Linked DNA regions of Danio rerio. The protein of the gene in region 2 purifies or fractionates together with the protein of the main gene of each other region. This does not show direct contact. Links are inferred from orthologs where the notes say so. Each region holds a gene or a part of one and is shown on either strand. Other genes may lie near its edges.

The links. Proteins that work in one complex are often made in the same cells at the same time.
Region 1: the proteins of dicer1 (region 2) and prkra purify together in Homo sapiens (co-immunoprecipitation; 4 studies listed by BioGRID and IntAct, with this or other methods). This does not show direct contact. The link is inferred for Danio rerio from reciprocal best matches to the Homo sapiens genes DICER1 and PRKRA.

What each region holds. Positions count from the first base shown.
Region 1 is NC_133184.1:1,352,838-1,359,249, reverse strand, and holds the start of prkra (interferon-inducible double-stranded RNA-dependent protein kinase activator A homolog), read right to left. Parts: upstream 2,874-6,412; 5' UTR 2,838-2,873; coding exon 2,824-2,837; exon of another isoform or gene 2,750-2,823; intron 2,422-2,749; coding exon 2,252-2,421; intron 2,145-2,251; coding exon 2,063-2,144; intron 1,951-2,062; coding exon 1,881-1,950; intron 1,157-1,880; coding exon 1,039-1,156; intron 227-1,038; coding exon 132-226; intron 1-131. UniProt on the Homo sapiens protein: Activates EIF2AK2/PKR in the absence of double-stranded RNA (dsRNA), leading to phosphorylation of EIF2S1/EFI2-alpha and inhibition of translation and induction of apoptosis.
Region 2 is NC_133192.1:20,720,607-20,727,806, reverse strand, and holds part of dicer1 (endoribonuclease Dicer), read left to right. Parts: intron 1-1,665; coding exon 1,666-1,879; intron 1,880-3,467; coding exon 3,468-3,621; intron 3,622-3,741; coding exon 3,742-3,924; intron 3,925-4,024; coding exon 4,025-4,130; intron 4,131-4,306; coding exon 4,307-4,482; intron 4,483-7,093; coding exon 7,094-7,200. UniProt on the Homo sapiens protein: Double-stranded RNA (dsRNA) endoribonuclease playing a central role in short dsRNA-mediated post-transcriptional gene silencing.

The DNA.
Region 1 (6,412 bases), on a different chromosome or scaffold from region 2:
ACAAAATTTTGGGATTAATCACCAAGCAACCCCCTCCTCCAGGGGTCCCAAACACCACTTTAATCCAACATGCTTTCATAAATCAATCCAGAAGTCTTCATAAATAAAATAACTGCTGATGAATTACTAACCCACGTGATCTCAGAAGATCCTGACAAACTCTGCAGTTTGGCGATCATGTTTTCAGCAGCTGCTCGTCTGGCCAGCTTTTTGGAGCTGCCGGATCCTGATGAGCCAAAAAAAAAGCAGATAATAAAGCATCAGTGGAGAAATCAGCACGATATCTGCACATGAATAACAGCAGTTGGCAATATACAGTTGAAGTCAGAATTATTAGCCCTCCTGAACTATTAGCCCCCTGTTTATTTTATTCCCCAATTTCTGTTTACCTCAGACCCAACCCCCCACAACACATTTCTAAACATAATAGATTTTATATCTCATTACTAATAACTGAGATCTTTTGTAAAGTATCAAAATCTTGATGGTTCTGTGGGTCTCGTCTGCAAAATCTGAGCTTTATTTTGTATTCTCTATTGGATTCAGATCAGGGGATTGGTTGGGCCATTCTGCAGCTTGATTCTCTTTCTCTGAAAGCATCTGAGAGTCTCCTTGGCTGTGTTTTGGGATCATTATCTTGCTGAAATGTCCACCCTGGGTTCATCTTCATCCTCCTGCTGATGCAGATGTTGGACTGAAGCAGCTGATGTTCATTTACATTGAGGAAGGGCAGAGGCTTGCTGAAGAACCACTGAGAGATTTCAGCTGCTGTCTGGGCTTTCACTGCCGAACTACACCTCCCTTTTTTCATGTGTTCAATACTCCTCCCCTGCGTCATTTTATTTTATTACACAGAACTTCAATTCTAAACGAATCAGTTTTGTTTTCTTTGCATATATGGATTTCTTTGGTTGCTACCAACATCTGGGGAACATTTCAAGTCAACAGCACATTTAGAAATGTGTTTTCTGAGAAAAACAGTGATTTGTTCAATACATATTTCCCCCACTGTATTGTATGTACAGCCCCAGACGTCACCTGTTTCCTCCAGTCCCTCCAGACGGCAGGCGATGGTGAACTCCTTCATGTGTCCCGGCCCAGTCTCCATAAACACAACATACTCGGGCAGACACCACACTCTCTGCATGGCCAGCTCCTGAAAGAGTGAGCAGATTAGATGACAAACACATACTGAATGCAAGGGTTGCGAATTAGCATGGTGATTCTGTTGAAAAAAAAAACACCAAAATAAACAAGAAAAGAAAAAAAAGTCCAGATAAAATACCTCGCGCACACACACTACTGTAAGAAAATATCTGAATTCGGAACATACTTTCAGTGTTTTCTTTGCTTGAACTGAGCCGATCTAATCCTGTTTATATGAATTGAACCTGCTCCTGATCAGGTTTGAGCTAGCAGAACTGTTGCTATGACAACAACTCTCGAATGAGCTTTGAAGAACGAAACGATCCTGGATCGTGTCAAATCATCAATATCCAAATCCAGCTGAGTAATCCACGTACGAAGAACAGACCCCAGAAGTCTATGACTCTTTTGAATTATTTAACCTGACATGTTTACTGCTCCAAAATATTTTAAATCTTTCACAAAATAAAATATTCTGTGTTCAAAGAGGAAACAAGTTTTTGTTTTTTTACACAGACATTTAAAAATAACTTATTTTAGAGGAGTAATTACAACACTGTGATACCGTAAAACCATAATATTTTTATCCAAGGTCAGATTCCTTGTGGGCCCACTAATAACTAACTTTAAATAATAAGTTAATTTATTTCCTTCATGTTATTCAAACACAAATCCATTGTGTAAAACCCAGTATTATTTACATGTGTGTGTGTGTGTGTGTAGTTCTTAGATACCTGCAGTATTCCCACAGGATTGGACGCTTCTCCGGCTTCAGGAGATAGACCATTGTTGTCTCTCTGGTCTCTATTAAAAATTCAGAACATCTGGATTAGTTTTAACCCATTTAATCAATCTATAATAGTTTATAAGCCCATCTGCTGTATGCATGTATGGGTGTGTGTGTGCTGTGCATTACATTATCTGACTGTCTCGCTTCAGCAACTTCAAGGCGGCTTCTGCAGCTTCATGCTTCGCGGCCTTTTTTGTGGATCCTCGGCCTTCACAAGCAAAACAACGGCGCATTAGAAGACTGTCGTGCATTGTGTAATTAGTACATGCGTTTAGTAGTATTTCTAATAAATAAGAGATGTGTAGATGACGTCACCTTTGCATGTGACCTCTCCTATGGTGACGCTGAACATGAAGGAAGGCTGATGCGCGTCCCCGTCCGCGTGAATGAGCTCGTATTTCGGCGCGCTGCTGATTTTAATGCCATATTCGTGCAGGAGCTGGATCGGTGTTTTGTCCTGACTGCGTTGGGGAGCCATTGTGACACTGAGGCGACAATAAAGAGCGTACAACCGAGTGAAAAGAGCTAAGCTAGCACACGAGCAGCTTAAAACATCACATACACAACGCAGATACTAAGAATATGACACTCCATCATATTATAGCATACTAAACAGTGTGTAACGACACTGTGTTATACTTTATAACAAACAGAACGACACATTTATTATAATATGTAACGTTAGCATGCAAAACGACACTCCATTATAGTATAGCACACAATACAATGCAGCCTGCCTCTGTGCACTAGTCAAAGTAAATCCGAGATTGATGTGAGCACGAACAGTTACACACGCGTTAAACAGACACTTACATGTTGCGATATAATAATTGTCTCGTATATATACAAAAGGAAAAGCCTGTATTATCAATTTTACGAGCTCTTACTTTGAATCAGCCATTACTTCTGCCCGTCTGCCGCTTTTTAATAGATTGACAATCGCATTGGCCAATTGTATTGCTCTATACTGGCTGTAAGCCCCGCCCTCCACAACAGCGGTAAAGTCTAGATGGGATACAGCCGCGGAAACTTACATCAATATAGCATGATTTTTGTAACACTTTACAATAATAGTTCATATTTTTACACTATTATGAGGGTTGGTGTTGAAGAAAGTGTTAGTAAAGTACAATTTGACGGGTAATTTATTAAATAGGATGAATAATAATCGGTTTAATTACTGTTTTTACATTAATGTGGTGCTTGGGATTATAGTTGGGGTAGGAGTAGAGGTTAAAAATATATAATTAATTGGTAATTTAATAAGTATTATAAATAACGTCCGGCCGCTGCTGTATCTCTTCTATCGCGCTATAGCCCCTCCCTTCAATGGAAGCCGGCATGGTTTTAGCCTTTCTCAATTGTGGAGGAAGACTGTAATGTGCTTCTTTTGCAATGTCAATCAATTTCTGAGATGCCTAAGTGTGCGAAACTGATTTAGAAAGCTTTGTGTTAATATTTAACACGCTTTGTATCACGTAAGTGAACTGCATTTTGAGATTATTAATGTTTTATATGAGATCGCAGATGATTTTACGACAGGTGCGATATTTTGCGGCACAGCCTGCCTCACTGCGTTCCATTCGAAAAGGCTCATCCCTGTGCCCTAGGGACAACTTTGAAGGGTGTGTAGGGGTCATAAATGCTTCCCTTTTTAATTCACTTCTGAGTCATCATCATGACGAGGTGAAGGTCGCACTTTTTGTGCTCTACTGACACCCACAAAACACGAACATTTATATTTATTCTTGTTTGTCCATAACGTTCATTCAATTATTTTTCATTCAGGTTAGTCCCTTCATGAATCAGGGGCCGCCACAGCGGAATGAACCACCAATTTATCCAGCATATATTTTATGCAGCAGATGCCCTTCCAGCTGCAACCCAACACTGGGAAACACCCACACACTCTTGCACACACTCATACACTACAGCCAGTTTAGCTTATTCAATTCCCCTATAGCGCATGTGTTTGGACTGTGAGGGAAACCGAAGCACCCAGAGGAAACCCACGCCAACACCGGGAGAACATGCAAACTCCACACAGAAACACCAACTGACCCAGCCGGGGCTAGAACCAGCGATCTTCTAGCTATGAGGAAATACTTACATTTATAAGTAAAGTCAAACTCCGAGCCTCCAGTTGTGTGCATTTTATTCATTTAATGATAAAAAAAATGGGTTACAACATAAAAAAATAAATAAAATTAAAAAATACATTATTTTACAGCCTTAAAATATATATTTAGAGTCATTTTTCATTTGCAGATATGTAATGTTTGATACTTTAAAGGGCACCTATTATGCAAAAATCCCTTTTAAGGCCCGTGCACAGCGGTACGCTTTTCGCTCACGTTTTCCGTCAACGTTTACCACCTCGTGACTAAATAAACGGTGCTATTGTGGTTGTGCACACCAACGGCAGACGTAAAAGCTTTATTTTTTAAGAAACGCCTCATGCTAATTTTTTTGTTTTGACGCACCGCGCCATAACCTTCTCCACCAATCAGATTGGCACTTTTGTTCACGTGCACAGAGCTTCTGAAGTTACCGTAAACAGCACTTGGAGGCGCTCAAGTGCAAAACTTTCAGGCTGCGTCCGAATTTAAACGAATATGTATTTGTAAATGTACTACTCGGCCGTTAGAAAAGTGGGTTCTATACAGTATGAATGTGAAAAGTATGAATGGAATTCGGATGTACTACATCCGCCATTTTATCATGGTCACGTGACCTACCTGTGTCAGTTGCGTCGTTTCACTTGCATTCATATATTCTCTCGCGGGGCATCATGGGACAGCGCAGCGTGCATAGGATGTGCACTACAAAATCTCGCCAGAAGTAGTAAGTCATCCGGGTATTTCTCGCATACTGATTTTCAAATTGTATGAATTCGGACATACTACTCGGCTCGCATACTGATTTTAGCATACTATATAGTATGAAAGTATGCGGTTTCGGACGCAGCCTCAGTGACTACTAGCGAACGGGATGTGATAAGAGGGCCCCGCCCCCCTCCGTATGTGATCTCCTTATCCGCTTGTTAAGTGGTGACGTGTTTGTGACGCATGTAATACTGTTTCCTAGTCCAAGCCGCCATTCATTTGCGTGAAGAAATCATTCGTTTATGATCACGTTTTATTCCTATCACACATTAAAGTTAATTTTATATAAAATCATAGTGTATACAACAATCTCTGGGCTTGCTGCATAACAAATACCAAAAATTTAACATTTTATAAAAAAAAATGAATCACTTTCTGGCCATCGCATATTAGGCATGGGCATATATGTTGCGATCGTGATCTTCGAAAGTATTAAATCGCTTTGTGAACGTTTATTATTACTATTTTATGAGTCAGTTGAATAGAGCGCTTAGACCCGGAAGCCGCTTCGCGTGACGTCAGACTAAACAAGCGGATGGCCATTAGATATTAGAACCATTACAACAATCGTTACAACGAACGATACCAGTACCACGCGGCTAATTCACCTCTTATTATTAAAAACATTTCCTCAGTCTTTATATATGTGCATTTTTTTAACTCATGAGTAAAAAATAATGTGGCCAACATACACTATACTGCCAAAATATTGGGTGAAATTCAACAATTGTACTATTAAAAAAAATTGAGTAGTTTCCAGTGTGTTACAGTTAAAAACGCAAAGAAAGTCAAATATTTTACAGTAAACTATTGTATTTTAATCATTAAGTGTTAATAGACCAGTGTTTTAAAGCACACATCGTATCCTTTATTACACACACAAAAACACAACCATATGGTGATGAGAAAGTCATATGATAAGCTTTTATTTAACAGGTTTCCCACAAGCATGCTAATATAGAAGACGCTCATTGCCAATCACACAATTGCCAAACAGCATCATAACAACACATAACACTAAAGTAATGCAATAAACTTGATTTATTAACAATATATGTAATATAACAAAGAAAGAAAACCTTAAAAATAAGCACAGAATTCGCAGAGAATTCTGCGAAAGTCAATGTACAGTTATTTACAGTATATATTAAGGACACGTACTGTGCTGTAGGGTTTCTACAGTTTTAAAGTGAAATCAGGGACATTTTTTACAGTGTACTGTGACGCCCCATTCACACGGGGCGTCAGTGTCAATGCTTCCCATTCACTTTGAATGGGTGACGTCAGGCGTTGCTGAACTGCATTGTGGATCCGTCGGCGCCGCTTCAGAGGCGTTGCTCGCTGCAGAAGTTGGAACTAGCTCAGCTTTTCAAGCGCCGATGGAAGCGTCAGCCAATCAGATCGCTGTATGCAAATACACCAGCTAGACAGTGGCCTATTGCTGACTGAATTTCATTGGCTGATGCTGCTATGACGATCGCTTCAGCCCCAACTTCAGACACGCCTTCAGTCAAGCGTTGACGCTGAAGCCCCGTGTGAATGGAGCGTCATAGGTTTCGCAATAAATCCATTCCAGACATTTCCTCACTGC
Region 2 (7,200 bases):
CTGAAGTAAGGTCCATGAATTGAATCCTTACCTTACAGAAGATATATATTTAAATCAATAAATAGATTAAATTTAAAATACTGTTTTAATCAATTATGGCCTTCATTTTTTATTTTTTTTATGTAGACTGATTATACTAATAAAAGTCTATAAAGGAGGTGCGTGCATTTTACCACAGGGTTGCATTTCTCTCCACAACACCAGAACTGCAGTCAGATCATGAAGCAGATCAATGTTAATTTTTCTTTCGAGACGTCAGTGCAGAAATGAACAAAACAATAGGCCTAATACAAAATATTATAAGATTAAAATATGGATTATAAGAAGGTAATTTCGCACATTTTCCTAACTGATAAACAGCACTCGATAATATTTAAGCATGCTTTCACTGTCGTATTCCACATAAAACGCACATTTATCATTCCACCGTACTCATAATTCTCTCTTCATATGGCTGTTACTCAACAATAATACACTGTGATATAGCCTGGTTTGTCAGTTTGTTGGATCATTTTGTTTTCCCACTACAATCGATCCGCTCCAGTTCGTTTTAACTTACTGGGCAAAACAAACGTCTGGGCGTGAAAGCACCCTGTATTTGCATGCAATTGACAAACAGTCGCAACCAAATTAAACTTTAGTGACACGGCAGCACTAAACCATACTGCTAACTGTCTCGAGTGTCTCGCACACTGGCCCCAGGCCATCGGGCAGTCCTTAATTTCGAGCTCTGAACTCACTGACTGCAGTGATGTATACTAGGCATATACCATCAAAGTCTTTAGCCCCTTTCACACATTCAGACTTTTCCGGAAAATTACCGGCTTTTTGAAAATACCGGTAAATTCGTTCTGGCTATTTTCCGGAAAGAGAAGTTGTAACATTACCGGTAATTTGCCGGAATGCTGCGCTGTGTGAATGCAGAAGGAAGATTGCCGGAAAGAGCGCGTGCATGTCTAGAACATGCTGACGTGAGACACCTGCTTTAGCCAATCAGAACAGTCAGACGCATTCACGTGCGCGATTTATGAGAATAAGAGCCTTTGAATATTTTTCCAGACACCTTTAGCTCCTAGATGTTAGTCAGATAACGTTTCTATGTTCCTTCTTAATGCTAACTGTGTAAATAATTATCGATAAAATGTTTATAGTAATTCGTTGTTTGTTTACCTTCAAGCTTTGCGTGTGCCTGTGAGCCCCCATAGCGCCAGCACACACACATATCATGAACATCTCGACATGCGAAAGTGTTCCTCTATATGTTTTCATTGGAGTTGTACTCAATACTGATCCATCCAAAGAGTTTTAATGTAGTCAAATGTTTACAAACACAAGCGCAGCCGTTTAGAGGTCATTTCTGGTTAATGATGTCAGAATTTACCGGTATTTTGGAATGGATGTGTGAATGCTCTTTTCCTCGCCTGTGTGAACAGCGCTTTTTTGAATTTACCGGTAAAGTCGTTCCGGAAATTTTCCGGATATTTACCGGTATCACTGTGTGAAAGGGGTTATTGGCTGACAGTTTCCAACTTTCTTCTGAATATCAGCTTTTGTGTTCAACAAGAAAATTAATTCCAATATGATGACAGCATTTTCATTCTTGGGAGATCAATCCTTATTAGTTTTGAAGATGATAAATATCATGATCTTTTTTCCCTCCCTCAGATCCCTCATTTCCCTGTGTACACTCGTTCTGGTGAGGTGACCATCTCCATTGAGCTGCAGAAGTCGGGCTTTAGTCTAAGTGCGGAGCAGCTGGAGCTGATCACACGTCTGCATCAGTACATCTTCTCCCACATCCTCCGTCTGGAAAAGCCAGCACTAGAGTTTAAGCCTGTAGAGGCAGATTCTGCCTACTGTGTTCTACCTCTCAACATCGGTGAGTGTCGCAGTCTTGTCTGAGATTAAAGTTAATCATTAGTTTATTATATTTTTAGTTTTTTTAGGATTATTTAGACCTGCAACAAATCTGTCAAATATTTGTTTTATTATTTGGACAAAAAGCCAGTGTTTTTGTTCTGTCATTTATTGAGCAAGCATGTGCGTTCCAGATCTTATCCATTTTTCCATTTAAAATGTCAGATGCTCTTCATTTAGCAATAGAGACTAATTAATATTACAAAACATCTGTTTATTTTTATTTGTTTCATTATTTATTGCAGCTAGTGATGGCAATATTGGGACTTTTATTTTGAGAGCTGATTATTTTTAGCTATTGTATTCAAATAAACTATATTTTAATACTTATAATCAGGGTATCCACGGGGTCGTAAAGTTTTAAAATGTCTTAAATCTCAAAAGCAAAATTTTAGGCCTTAAAGTCTTAAATTCACTGAAATATTGTGTTGTAGGTCTTCAATCTTTTTTTTTTAACAGGTCTTAATTTTCCTTTGTTCAATGTTCAAGAGTCCATCCAATAAAATATCTTTACAGTAACATTTGTTTAATAATCCTCTATTTATTTACTGCTGAGGATACTGACCTGACCTATATTTTTGTATTATTAAGTTATTAATATTATTGACTGAAGTAGTTGACAGATTTGTTTTGTTCTTTTCTTGGTAAGGGTTATCGAGTTTGTGAATGGATATATTTGAAAATTGTTGTAAAAAAATTTCAAACTAAATTATAGAAAATCTTCTCTAACTGGGATATTGAAAAAAACCCTTAGCATTTAGCCCTGTATAAGTCTAATTAGTCATAATTTTTGTTGTTATTTTTTTTTTATTAACAGATTTGTTAATATTATTTGTTATTAACAGATCATTTTGTCTGACTTTAAAGTGGCACACAAGGGTTAAAATATTTTTTAAATAATATAGTTTTAGCCCTCCTTTTAATTTTTTTCATTTTCAAATATTTGCCAAATGATGGAAATTAGCCATAGCAAGGACATTGTCACAGTATGTCTGATAATATTTTTTTTCTTCTGGAGAAAGTCTTATTTGTTTTATTTCAGCTAGAATAAAAGCAGTTTTTAATTTTTCTAATACCATTTTAAGGTCAAAATTGTTGTCCCCTTTAAGCAAATTTTATTTGATAGTCCACAGAACAAACTATCGTTATACAATAGCTTACCTAATTACCCTTAACTGCCTAGTTAACCTAATTAACCTAGTTAAGCCTTTAAATGTCATTTAAGCTGTATAGAAGTGTCTTGAAAAATATATAGTAAAATATTATGTTCTGTCATCATGGCAAAGATAAAATAAATTAATTATTAGAGATGAGTTATTAAAACTATTATGTTTATAATGTGTTGAAAAAAATCTTCTCTCCTTTAAATAGAAATTGGGGAAAAAAAATAAACGGGGTGGCAAATAATTCAGGGGGGCTAATAATTCTGATTTCAACTGTATATCAGCCATCGGCTACCCCTACTTCGCAATACACTGGCTGTATAAGCTGTATTCAAGCATTTGTTTCAGTGATATTCCAATTTTTTTTATAACTGGTGTTCTTTTCAGTTGAGGATTCCAATACTTTGGATCTGGATTTCAAGTTCATGGAGGATATTGAAAAGTCTGAAGCACGCATTGGCATTCCAAACACTCAGTACACCAAGCAAAACCCATTCATCTTCAAATTGGAGGACTACCAGGATGCTGTCATCATTCCAAGGTACAAAACATACTCGAGTCTTATTGCTGTTGTAATTAAGCAGTCATTGATGATTTATACTGTGCTTTTGTTTTCGCTCAAGTTGAACCATGGCCTCCTTTCTCATTTTCCTCCTCTCAGGTATCGTAATTTTGACCAGCCGCATCGGTTCTACGTGGCTGACGTTTACACAGACCTCACCCCGCTCAGTAAATTCCCCTCTCCAGAGTACGAGACTTTTGCCGAATACTATAAAACCAAGTACAACCTGGACCTGTCAAATGTTAATCAGCCCCTACTGGATGTGGACCACACATCTTCAAGGTAGGAAGGAAAAATTAAAAAATACTTCATGGTATGTGTTTTTCTTTTTTTATAAACCCCCAAAAATTCATTACATGTCCATGGTGGTCTTTTCCTGTAGATTGAATCTTTTAACTCCCCGGCACCTTAATCAAAAGGGGAAAGCCCTTCCTCTCAGCAGTGCGGAGAAGAGAAAGGCCAAGTGGGAAAGCCTACAAAACAAACAGGTATTAACTGTCGGAAAGAATTTGCGGTGATAATTATGAGCCATCATACCTGAATTAAGTGTAATCACGCTGAATAAATGAGTGCTTCCTCCCAGTGAGAGTGGTAATGGTCGAACAAAGGTTTGATTCATATCAGATAACTTTTTTTGGTTTGTATTTTTGGTCTATCTTCTTAGATTTTAGTTCCGGAGCTCTGTGCCATTCACCCCATCCCAGCCTCTTTGTGGAGGAAAGCCGTCTGCCTTCCCAGCATTCTCTACAGACTTCACTGCCTTCTGACGGCCGAAGAGCTGCGGTCTCAGACAGCCATCGATGCTGGCGTAGGGGCTCAGACCTTGCCTCCTGATTTCAGGTCAATTAAAAAAAACATTACACTTATTCCTGCTTCCAAACCCTAGTATACTTGTGGCCTGTTTCCACTGAGTGGTACAGTACGGTACAGTATGGGTCACCTTCATCAGGCTTGCATTCCCACTGCCTAAAGGGTATTTAAAAATGGCGCTTTTTTTGTGTTTATTATCCTGCTTGTATATGCACTAGTGACATTTCTCTGTAAACCAATAGCATTCAGCTCCGCCTTTTGGTACCCTTTTGTTGTGCTAGGTACCCTTTTAAAAGGGTACCCAAAAAGTGGTACGGTACGGTTCACTTTATGGTACTTTTTGACAGTGGAATTTAGTTTGATTGAGTAACTATTATAGTTTTTATAAAGTGTTGTTTATATTATGAAATGGGAGATTTTAATGATTTTGCTGGAGAAGAGCAACGGTTGTGCTTTGTAAATATTTTCATTCGCAAAACAGAACAAATGATAAATGAAAAGATGATCACTTTCAGTGTTGCAGCTAACATGTAATTTTATATAGTTCTTTTTGTTTATTGATAAAATCTCTTTTAATGTTTGTGCCGACACTAGGCATGGGCGGTTGTAAGACTTTGACAGTATGATAACCTTGGATAAAAATATCACCGTGTGATTACTGCTCCAAATTAGGTTCCTTTTAAATGTCTGGGTAAAAAGCAACATTTAAAATATTTTGGATCAGTAGCTTAGTAGAGTTTTTTTTTTTGCTGGAGACACTGTTTTCCTTAGGAACGATATAACAGAATAATTGTTCAATTTAACAACATAAAAACGGTGGACCAATTAGAGCGGTTTTGAGACCAACTGCAACTTGACATAGGAGTGCAGTCCCCCCGCCCACCTAATTGATTGACAGTTGCGTATAAACTTGTCTTCGTAGTGCAGTATAATTAAATCAACTAGACAGGATGTGCGTAAAGCAACCGGGAATAAAAGGTCTGTCCAGTTTGCTTGGATCATCAATCATCATCAAATGTGATCAAGAGTGAGTTTTACAAGTTTAAAATGTTTTCAAACAGTGCATGTGTGTAATGAATTACAGCGATTCACTTCAGATTCACTTCATCAGCACACCCACGTATCTGAACAATTATAAAAGAAGAGGCTTCAATCGTGGTTTGTGGACGTTAAATCAGGTTTATTTTGTACATTAACATAACAGATGTCCATACAGCAGTGGAGATTAAACTGCGTCCTGTCAAATTTGTGTGCAAAAACAGTGCAAAGCTAAATGCGCGCGCTGTGTGTGTGTGTGTGTGTGTGTGTGTGTGCGTGTGTGAACTTTGTAACGACATTGTGTGTGTCTCATCGTTGCAACTCAACAACAGATGCATCGAATACTCGTTGATAAAGTTCTGACTTATTTCTCACAAATGTTACGTGAGATCTTCTTCATCTCTCTTGTCTGTTGTCTGAGGCAGCCAAGGGCGGAGACTGAGGCACGCTGACAGGCATGTGGCAATGGTAGGCGGAAAGACTAGCCTTAAAGGCCCATTACATAAAAACAGCAGCAAGCTGTTTAGAGCTATAAAAATACAAACTACTGAAAGCTATTATAAATAATCTGATGTGGGTTTGGAGCTGAAACTTCACAGATTCTTTTTTAATTCCGGAAAAAGGGGTAACCTAGGTGCCCTTTAAATACATTTTCATTTAGTCATTTAGCAGATGCTTTTGTTCAAATCGACCTTTCAATTCAGCGATTCAACAAAAAGAGGCAATACACACAAGAAGTGCTAATTATACAAAGCAAGAAGTTTGTGCTCAGAAAATTTAGGCAGGGTTTTGTTTTTTGTTTTTTCACACTTATAAATGCACAATGTTTTTTTGTGCAATGTTGTTTTTTTGTTGTTGTTGTTATGGAATGATTGTAAAAATGTGTCTGGTGCAAATGAGCAAAAACTGGTTCAAATGTTGGTTAAAGTGTCAGAGAGATGGTAGTAGGGATTCTCCGATGATATCTCGCCTTACCTAAAATAATCAAATTGGGATGTAGCATTCATGTAATGGACAGAAGCAGCTTTACGGAAAAAATTAAATAAATAAAACAGACAAAAATGGTAAGAAAATGAATAACAGTGCAATTTGGAAACATTGCTCATGTGTTGTTGCGCTGCCAATGCATAACCCGGGCGTGCACGTGCATCTTTCTCTGCTTGTAAACTCACAAACAAACACTTGCGATCGGTTCATGGGATCGGCCAGATTAACAAGTATCGATCGAGTCATGAAATGTACTGATCTCCAGCCGATTAATCGGAGCATTCCTAGATGAAAGTGTGTTTTCTACAGGTAGTTTGTTAAGCCTGTCACCTGTTCGAGGCACACTCAGAATTTGTAATATTTAAGGCTTGGTTGGTGTGTGGTGAGGTGCGTGAGAGAAGAGGGGTTCAGGTGATCTCAGAATAGATGGGATTTTAGTTGTCGTTTGAATGATGTCTGTGTGGATTGCAGATAACACCTACATGTAACATCTACAGAAAGTCAGGTGTTGGATTCAATTTCAAGTTACTATAAATGATTAAGAGTTACTGCCTTTAAAATGTTACTGTTCAGTCAAAGTGCTAAGTATAATAATCTCATTCAATGTTGACCCCAGGTATCCTAATTTGGATTTCGGATGGAAGAAATCCATCGACAGCAAGTCTTTCATCTCCTGCCCCAGTGCATGTATGGAAGAAGACGACGATCACTGTAAACTCGGCA